Kluyveromyces lactis: one gene and its partners. The protein of the gene in region 3 binds, or shares a complex with, the protein of the main gene of each other region. Links are inferred from orthologs where the notes say so. Each region holds a gene or a part of one and is shown on either strand. Other genes may lie near its edges.

Region 1 (3,392 bases), on a different chromosome or scaffold from region 3:
TATTGGAGAGGATGCTCGCATGGCAAGAGTACTGTACCATATTGGACAATCTTGATAAGCAAGTTGACCAAGCATATATCAAACGTATTCGTGCGCCGAAAAATAAGAAAAAGAGGCAATATACACCTGGGCCGGATTCATTAGCAACCGGATCAACATCTCAGGCAGCTATTCAGGCAGCTCACCAACAAGCCGCTAACTCGAGTCTAAAATCTTTGTTGGATAAGAGACAAAGATGGATAAGCAAGATTGGTCCTTTGTTTGACAAACCGGAAGTCATGAAGCGTATTCCAAGAGATAGCGTATTCAAGGATATAGACCAAGATGAGGAAGAAGAAGAAGCAGATGTGTTCAGCAATAATGCCAACGGGAAGGAAGAAGAATTAAATGAAACTCTACAAAATAAAGAAGAATAAATTGAAATAACTGACAGACTGGCGTCAAGCTGGTTTTTGGTGCTAGCTAGTGGAATTAGACCCTTTATTATATAGAATACGTGGAATAAATGTACCTGTCTATATTTGATGCAATTATGATTTATGATATTTACTTGTTACTTAGTTATTCATATTAGTCTGAATGTATGATAAAGATGGAACCGTTTTGACATTACCTAGAGCAACCATAGAGACAGGTTTATTGAGCAGCCTATAATTTGCCCACATTATAATGTCCTGCTTTGTGATTTTATTAACTTGTTCGAAAACCTCCTCTGGTGATAACCTTTTACCAGTCGTTACTACTTGTCTTCCAATATCTTCAGCTATTGCAGTCGATCCATCTAGAGAAAGAAGTAGAGAGGCTTTTAATCTTGCTTTCGCTCTGTTTACCTCATCGTCCGAGATACGTCCGGACCGAATTCTTTTCCACTCTTTTAAAATTTCGTCAATGATTAACTTTATATCGTGTTGTTGAGAATCAGCCACAATGTACATACCCCACAAACCGGAGTCGGCGTACGATGTTGAGAATGACATGTAGGAATTAGTTAAAGTACCATTTTCAGATGCAGCAACAGCAAGAGGTGAAGGAGAATTAGTACCTGTGCCCAAGGCCCTGTCCCAGTTACCAATGATTGCCTGGGTGCAAAGAGCAGTAAAGTAATCTGGTGCCGACCAGGATACACCTTCAATAGCTAACGCAATGTGGGTAGTTGGTAATGTATCTTCTTGAATCTTGAGTTCATTCCCATGGAAAACAGGCAAAGGACCTCGTGGAGAACCTAGAGGAATTGGGGCTTCTGATTTTCTAACGTGTCCAAAATACTTACCTGCGTATTCTACCAATTTATCATGATCGACTGCACCTGTACCGACAAGTACCATTCTGTCACCCGTATAATGTTTTTCGATGAACTCTTGTAAATCAGATCGTTGAATACTCTTTATATTTTTGATAGGCCCTAAAATAGTTCTTCCTAAAGGCTGATTCTTATAAGTGATTGTATGGAGATGGTCGAAAACAACCTCGTCGTACATCTTATCAACTTCTTCAGACTCCCTAATAATGACGTCTCTCTCCCTTTCAATGGCCTTTGGATCCAATACTGAACGAGTTAAGATATCTGCAAGAATATCGACTGCCTTTGGTATATCTTGTTTGAGTGATTTTGCATAGTACACAGTGTTTTCCCTCGAAGTATAGGCATTTAAATGTGAACCGATATTCTCAATCTCCAGTTCAATACCAGTTTGTGATCTGTTTTGTGTACCCTTGAAGGCTAAATGCTCCAAAAAATGTGCTGTTCCATTATTCTTCTCATTCTCGGCACGAGATCCGGTATCAACAAAGATACCTACAGTGGCAGTATTTGTGTTTGGCAAAGATTCGGATGCAACTGTTAATCCATTAGGTAGCACTGATGTGGCCGTTTTTGATAAACAACCATTAATTTCAGTCGAGTAGCGGAGCCTACCAAGGCCCACAGAGGCAACAGAACGCCGTGCGCTTGCCAGGGCTCTGAACATTGTGACAAGTGGGAACTATTCGTAAAGTGAAAGAATATGTAATTTATAGCAACAGGTTATGGCCAACAACTACTCACTTGTTTTACCGAACACTAAGCTATTTAGCAACGTATATGAACAAATATATATATATACTCATGTACTTGAAAAGATTGCCTAGATCATATTTAGACTTTACTAATAAATACTGAGCACATACTAAACACAACAGACAACGAATAACATATTACCCGGATAAAAAGTAAGATGCACGTGATTCGCTAAATCCCGGGTAACGATAATATTTGTGCACGCTCTTGGTGTATATTTTTTCAGATCGAAAGTTAGATGTTACCCGCTCTGGAAGTCACTCAAATTCCGATTTCTTCCGCAAAGCGAGTCACACTTTTCATTACCCTCCGAGATGACCCGAAACTTACTAACAGAAAATTACCAAGCAGCACTTGATGATCATAGAAAGAAGGAGTCCGCTATTTGTCCGGAGCCGATTAAGGAACCTACGGAGAAAACAGTGGAAACTGGTAACGATGCGCGCAAAAAAATGAAAATAAAAAAGCGTAAGCATGATACAATAGACAGAACTATTCATTGTTCTCAATATATATATATATATATATATATATATATATATATTTATATTTAACCACATATACGTAGATTCAACAGAGCCTATTAAAATCACTTTAAACTCTGATCGCCATTGTTTTACGAGAATAATTGTTTTTACTGTGGGGATAGTCTATTTCATACTCTATACTCGAAGAACTTTTTGATAACCTAGTGACGTTGTCTTGGTTTCGCCATTCACTTCATTAAATTTTCGGCTTTACTTTTCCCTTTCAATCAGAACCTCTGAATTTGAAACTTTATTAGCTTGATTATAGAAGGTCGACACTTCTGTACTGTCCAGCAATTACCACATCTTTCCTGCTATATTCCATCCTTTTGACGAAACAATAGGATAATTTGAGTATTGAGGAATTTCCGATAAAAATACACTCTACTTACAACCAGTACTGAAGAATAAATAAAGATGTTTTCAAGAACCGTGAAGTTGACTCAAGCAAGAGCTTTCCAAACTACTGCCAGAAAGAATTTGACCATTCCATTCTTATCTACCTTGCCACAAGCTCCGGGCGGTGTGAAGGGTAACGTTAACGATGCTTACGTCCCTCCAGCTCCAGAAAAACTACACGGATCATTGCATTGGGATTTTGAAAGAGTTTTGGCCATTTCCTTAATTCCATTGGTCACCGTACCACTAGCTGCCACTGGTTCCATTTCTACTGTTTTGGACACTGCATTGGCTTCCGTACTATTAGGTCACTGTTACGTTGGTTTCCAATCCTGTATCATCGATTATATTCCAAGCAGAGTTTACGGTAAGAATCACACATACGCCATGTACTTGCTTGGACTAGGTTC
Region 2 (3,182 bases), on a different chromosome or scaffold from region 3:
ACCGCGGGGGGGGCTAAAATTAAATAAAGAATTATATATATATTCTTAATAATATTAATTATTAAAATATATATAAATATATATAATAATTTTTTTAATAATAAATATTGATATTATTATTTATACTCCGCCATAATATATCCCTAAGGGATATATTATGGCGGGAATATCTTACCCCCCTTTTAAGGGGGGGGTTTATAGATATTATATCTATATTAATAGTAACCAAATACCTCGTATAGGGCTTTGATATAAATTTTTATATAATAATATTATTTATATAAAAATAATAATAAATTAGTATTTCGCCATTAGTCATACGACTAATGGCGGGAGTTTATATATTTACATAATCCCGCCATATTGCCAATATTGGCAATATGGCGGGGTATTCTATTATTATATATACCCTTTTATTACATATTATATAATCTCCCAATTCCTTATGGGTTGAAATACGAGGATTATATATATATATATATTTTTGTATATTATATATTAATATATTATATAATAAAATTAATAAATAATGATTACCCCGCGGCTCACAACCTAGGTTGTGAGCCCCGGGGAAGAAATTACAATTCGCCTTTTAGGCATATATTTTCATAATATATATATATATATTTTTATATATTCTATATATATAAAATAATAAATTAGTTCCCTTAAATAGGGATAATTTAGCGAGATAGTTTTAATTAACTTACCCCCCGCGGCACACCCAACCCTACGGTTGGGTGAGGCCGCGGGGGGAATCTATATATAAGTTAATAGTAGTTATATTAGCTCAATTGGTAGAGCGTTCGTTTTGTAATCGAAAGGTTTGGAGTTCGAATCTCTAATATAACAGACCTTATCGTCTAATGGTTACGACATCATCTCTTCATGTTGAAAATATCGGTTCAATTCCGATTAAGGTTATATATTTTATAATCCCTTCTCCCCCGCGACATGACCCTCATAAAGGGTCATGTCGCGGGGGCTGGATATATTACCAAGTATATCCGTGGGATATATTAGAAGTAATATATAATTATAAAATAATAATCAATATACATATATATTATATATGTATCAAATTACTTGATAATAATATATTTATTATATTATTATAATAATTATTATATATATATTATTATATATATAATACAATAATATTATATTTATAAAATATTTATTTATCTCCCGCGAAATTATAAATAATTTCGCGGGGATATTCATATAAATAATATATATAAATTATACATAATTATATTATTATAATTATATATTTATCCCTTTCTCCCGTGGCATCACCCGACCCTCATAAAGGGTCGGGTGATCCGCGGGGGTCATATTTATATAAGGGCCCCGCGGCTCCTCCACGACGTTCGTCGTGGGGAATATATAATATTTATATTATATATTTAATATATATTATATTTATATATATATTTAAAAATATAATAATTCAAATAAAATATGTCATTTAGAAAATCTAATATTTATTTAAATTTATTAAATAGTTATATGATTGATTCACCACAACCTTCATCAATTAATTATTGATGAAATTTAGGATCATTATTAGGATTATGTTTAGTAATTCAAATTTGTACAGGTATTTTTTTAGCTATGCATTATTCATCTAATATTGAATTAGCATTCTCAGCTGTTGAACATATTATGAGAGATGTTCAAGGAGGATGATTTATTAGATATGCTCATGCTAATGGTGCATCATTCTTCTTTATTTGTATGTATATTCATATTGGTAAAGGTTTATATTATGGTTCATATAGAGCTCCTAGAACATTAGTATGAAATGTTGGTGTTATTATTTTTGTATTAACAATGGCTGCTGCTTTCTTAGGATACTGTTGTGTATATGGACAAATGAGTCATTGAGGTGCTACAGTTATTACTAATTTATTCTCAGCTATTCCATTTATTGGTAATGATATTGTATCATGATTATGAGGTGGATTCTCAGTTTCTAATCCTACTATTCAAAGATTCTTCGCTTTCCATTATTTAGTACCATTTATTATTGCTGCATTTGTAATTATGCATTTTATGGCATTACATACACATGGTTCATCAAATCCTTTAGGTGTTACAGGTAATTTAGATAGATTACCAATGCATGGTTACTTTATTTTTAAAGATTTAATTACTGTATTTGTATTCTTATTCTTCTTCTCATTATTTGTATTCTTCTCACCTAATACAATGGGACATCCAGATAACTATATTCCTGGTAATCCATTAGTTACACCTGCATCTATTGTACCAGAATGATATTTATTACCATTCTATGCAATTTTAAGATCAGTACCTGATAAATTATTAGGAGTATTAGCTATGTTTGGTGCTATTTTAATTTTATTAGTATTACCTATTACAGATAGAAGTGTTATTAGAGGTAACGCATTTAAAGTATTCTCTAAATTCTTCTTCTTCTTATTTATTGCTAACTTTGTATTATTAGGCCACTTAGGAGAATGTCATGTAGAGCCTCCTTTTGTTGTAATGGGACAAATTGCTACTGTAATTTATTTTGCATACTTCTTAGTTATTGTACCAGTTGTATCAACAATTGAAAATGTATTATTCTATGTAGGTAGAAAAAATGCAAAGTAATTATTAAAGGTAATAATTTAACTAATCAATATTCTTTTTTATCTATTTTTAATAATAATCAAAAAAGATATTATTCTCAAAATATTAATAATGATTAAATTTAAATCAAAATAAGCCCCACAAATGCGGCATCACCCAACCCTTATAAAGGGTTGGGTGTACCGCGTGGGGAAGAATATTATAAATGTTATAATGAAGTAAAATCAAAACATAATTAACCCCGCGGCTCATCCTCTGGTAATCCCAGAGGATGAGACCGCGGGGGATTTATTATTTGAATATTTAGATTTAGAAGCCCCGCAAATGCGGCATCATCCAACCCTCATAAAGGGTTGGATGAGCCGCGTGGGGAAGAGTAATAGTTTAAAATTAAAAAAAGTATTATTTAATTATGAAAATAATATAAACCCCGCGGCTCGTCCCCGGGGTATCCCGGGGACGAGTCCGCGGGGAAAATATTTTAATTTTAAAAATGTTAAATAGTAATTAATAATAAAATTATTTCAATATTCTTTTTTTTATTTAATATATATATTATATTAAATAAAATTTATAAA
Region 3 (2,045 bases):
TTGACACATACGCGCTTTTGAAAGGTTACAAGTCAGTGAGCGAACTATCTGCAGAAGAGTACAAGAAGGTTGCCATCCTTGGTTGGTGTATTGAACTGTTGCAAGCGTACTTCTTGGTTGCTGATGACATGATGGACCAATCGATCACAAGAAGAGGACAACCATGTTGGTACAAAGTGGAAAACGTCGGCGACATTGCGATCAACGATGCATTCATGTTGGAAGGTGCCATCTACTGTCTGTTGAAGAAACACTTCAGAACAGAGCCATACTACGTCGATCTATTGGAATTGTTCCATGACGTTACTTTTCAAACCGAATTGGGTCAGTTGTTGGATTTGATCACTGCACCAGAGGACAAAGTCGACTTATCCAAGTTCTCTTTGGAAAAGCATTCCTTCATCGTTATCTTCAAGACTGCATACTACTCTTTCTACTTAGCAGTGGCACTGGCCATGTTTGCTGCCGGTATTACCGACTCAAAGGACTTGAAACAGGCCAGCGACGTATTGATCCCATTGGGAGAATATTTCCAAATCCAAGACGATTTCTTGGATTGTTTCGGTAAACCAGAAGATATCGGTAAGATTGGTACCGATATCCAAGACAACAAATGTTCTTGGGTCATCAACGTTGCATTGAAGAATGCTACAAAAGAACAAAGAGATATCTTGGACGAAAACTACGGTAGAAAGGATTCTGAAAAGGAACAAAAATGTAGAGCTGTATTCAACGAATTGAACATCCAAGACATCTACCACAAGTACGAAGAAGAAACCGCTTCCAACTTAAGAGAGAAAATCGCTAACATCGACGAATCCCGTGGGTTCAAGGCCGAAGTTCTAACCTTGTTCTTGAACAAAATATACCACAGAAAGAAGTAGGTAAAGCATATATTATCTAACCATTTTAGATCACGTGCAACTAAATAAATAAAAGTAAGTTTCACTACCAGTATCACTGTATACGAACCAATAATACTACGTTTCGGCCTTTTCGCTTCTAAAAGACGAAGTCTTGAAAATCTTCCAGCGAGGGAAAAAGCTTTATATATAAGAAATAAGCTTTAAACCTCTACTTATTCAGATATTCAAATGATGCAAAGATGGAAAACTATTATACATAGTTTAGTCTCTGACTCAGTATCCGCAAGACCAAGAATTAAAATATTAAGACGAAATGGGTGGTCCACATGCTAAGGCTTACATGGGCTGGTGGGGTAGTATAGGTTCCCCAGCCCAAAAGGGTATTACTACATACACTGTTTCTCCATATGCTCAAAAGCCATTGAACAACATCTTCCACAACGCTGTTTTTAACACATTTAGAAGAGTTAAGAGCCAAATTTTGTACATGGCTCTTCCAGCTGCTTTGTACTGGGCTTGGTGGGTCAACTGCAGAGACTACAACGCTTACTTGTACACTAAGGCCGGTAGAGAAGAATTAGAAAGAGTTAACGTTTAAACAATGTTATTACAACACTAGACTAGTTCCTTTCTTTCTTCTGTCCAGGTTTAAAAGCTTACATGGAAAAAGAGGTGCGGCAGCACCCTTTTGACACTTTTATCAACATTCAAGATATATTTCTCACGTCACAAGAACATTTTTTATCATGTCAGGCCATCGAAAAGAGTTTCAGTATTATTAGATACTATTGAAAAGGAGAGAGCGAGTGGAAGTTCACATCCTCGGTTTTTAATTCTCTCTTTTCGGGTTTGGCTCAGTACCGTATTTATTGGAGGTTTTCATCAAGTGGTTACTCCCCTCAAATATATCTTCTATACTTCACTGTTTATACGAATTTGAAAAACTACTTTATTATGAATACTTACATCTGCGTGTCAAGGGCGTGATCGTCGTGCTCATATGTCGACGATCGGTGTGCTTGCCTGTTTTACATGTATATATATATATAGATGGATAAGTTTCTCCACTAATGAAAGTCACGTGACGTTATTACTTTCCCCCCGTAAAGGGTATTTAATCCAATAAAACGGATTTTAACGAGTTTCCAATATCAAAACATTAGTCGATTCTCACTGTTT

The links. The genes of interacting proteins can lie anywhere in the genome.
Region 1: the proteins of QCR8 (region 3) and MAS1 are in contact, whole or in part, in a cryo-EM structure (PDB 8ABH), measured with the Yarrowia lipolytica proteins. The link is inferred for Kluyveromyces lactis from reciprocal best matches to the Saccharomyces cerevisiae genes QCR8 and MAS1. Residues at the interface, in XP_504875.1 of Yarrowia lipolytica: Trp10, Trp11, Gly12, His13, Met14, Gly15, Ser16, Pro17, Pro18, Gln19, Lys20, Gly21, Ile22, Ala23, Gly24, Tyr25, Thr26, Ile27, Ser28, Pro29, Phe30, Ala31; in XP_500073.3 of Yarrowia lipolytica: Met176, Val264, Gly265, Ser266, Glu267, Val268, Arg269, Leu270, Arg271, Asp272, Asp273, Thr274, Thr356, Thr357, Asp447, Glu457, Gly458, Tyr460, Tyr462, Asn463, Arg466.
Region 2: the proteins of QCR8 (region 3) and CYTB are in contact, whole or in part, in a crystal structure (PDB 4PD4), measured with the Saccharomyces cerevisiae proteins. The link is inferred for Kluyveromyces lactis from reciprocal best matches to the Saccharomyces cerevisiae genes QCR8 and COB. Residues at the interface, in NP_012369.1 of Saccharomyces cerevisiae: Thr8, Tyr9, Met10, Gly11, Trp12, Trp13, Met16, Gly17, Gly18, Pro19, Gln21, Gln55, Tyr58, Val59, Ile61, Pro62, Ala63, Ile65, Tyr66, Trp69, Trp70, Gly73, Asn74, Tyr76, Asn77, Leu80, Tyr81, Asn93; in NP_009315.1 of Saccharomyces cerevisiae: Ser15, Asp19, Ser20, Pro21, Pro109, His202, Ile203, His204, Gly205, Asn215, Leu216, Arg218, Ile219, Pro220, Val320, Lys323, Phe324, Phe327, Ile328, Phe331, Asn332, Leu335, Gln338, Cys342, Glu345, Val346, Pro347, Tyr348, Met351, Ile354.

Annotation. Positions count from the first base shown.
Region 1 is NC_006040.1:1,526,251-1,529,642, forward strand, and holds MAS1 (mitochondrial processing peptidase), read right to left. Parts: upstream 1,968-3,392; coding exon 558-1,967; downstream 1-557. Other genes in the region: histone acetyltransferase NGG1, read left to right, coding at 1-416; KLLA0_D18117g (CybS family protein), read left to right, coding at 3,001-3,392. UniProt on the Saccharomyces cerevisiae protein: Catalytic subunit of the essential mitochondrial processing protease (MPP), which cleaves the mitochondrial sequence off newly imported precursors proteins. Preferentially, cleaves after an arginine at position P2.
Region 2 is NC_006077.1:20,110-23,291, reverse strand, and holds CYTB (apocytochrome b), read left to right. Parts: upstream 1-1,464; coding exon 1,465-2,625; downstream 2,626-3,182. UniProt on the Saccharomyces cerevisiae protein: Component of the ubiquinol-cytochrome c oxidoreductase, a multisubunit transmembrane complex that is part of the mitochondrial electron transport chain which drives oxidative phosphorylation.
Region 3 is NC_006037.1:609,876-611,920, forward strand, and holds QCR8 (ubiquinol--cytochrome-c reductase subunit 8), read left to right. Parts: upstream 1-1,179; coding exon 1,180-1,464; downstream 1,465-2,045. Other genes in the region: ERG20 (bifunctional (2E,6E)-farnesyl diphosphate synthase/dimethylallyltranstransferase), read left to right, coding at 1-884. UniProt on the Saccharomyces cerevisiae protein: Component of the ubiquinol-cytochrome c oxidoreductase, a multisubunit transmembrane complex that is part of the mitochondrial electron transport chain which drives oxidative phosphorylation.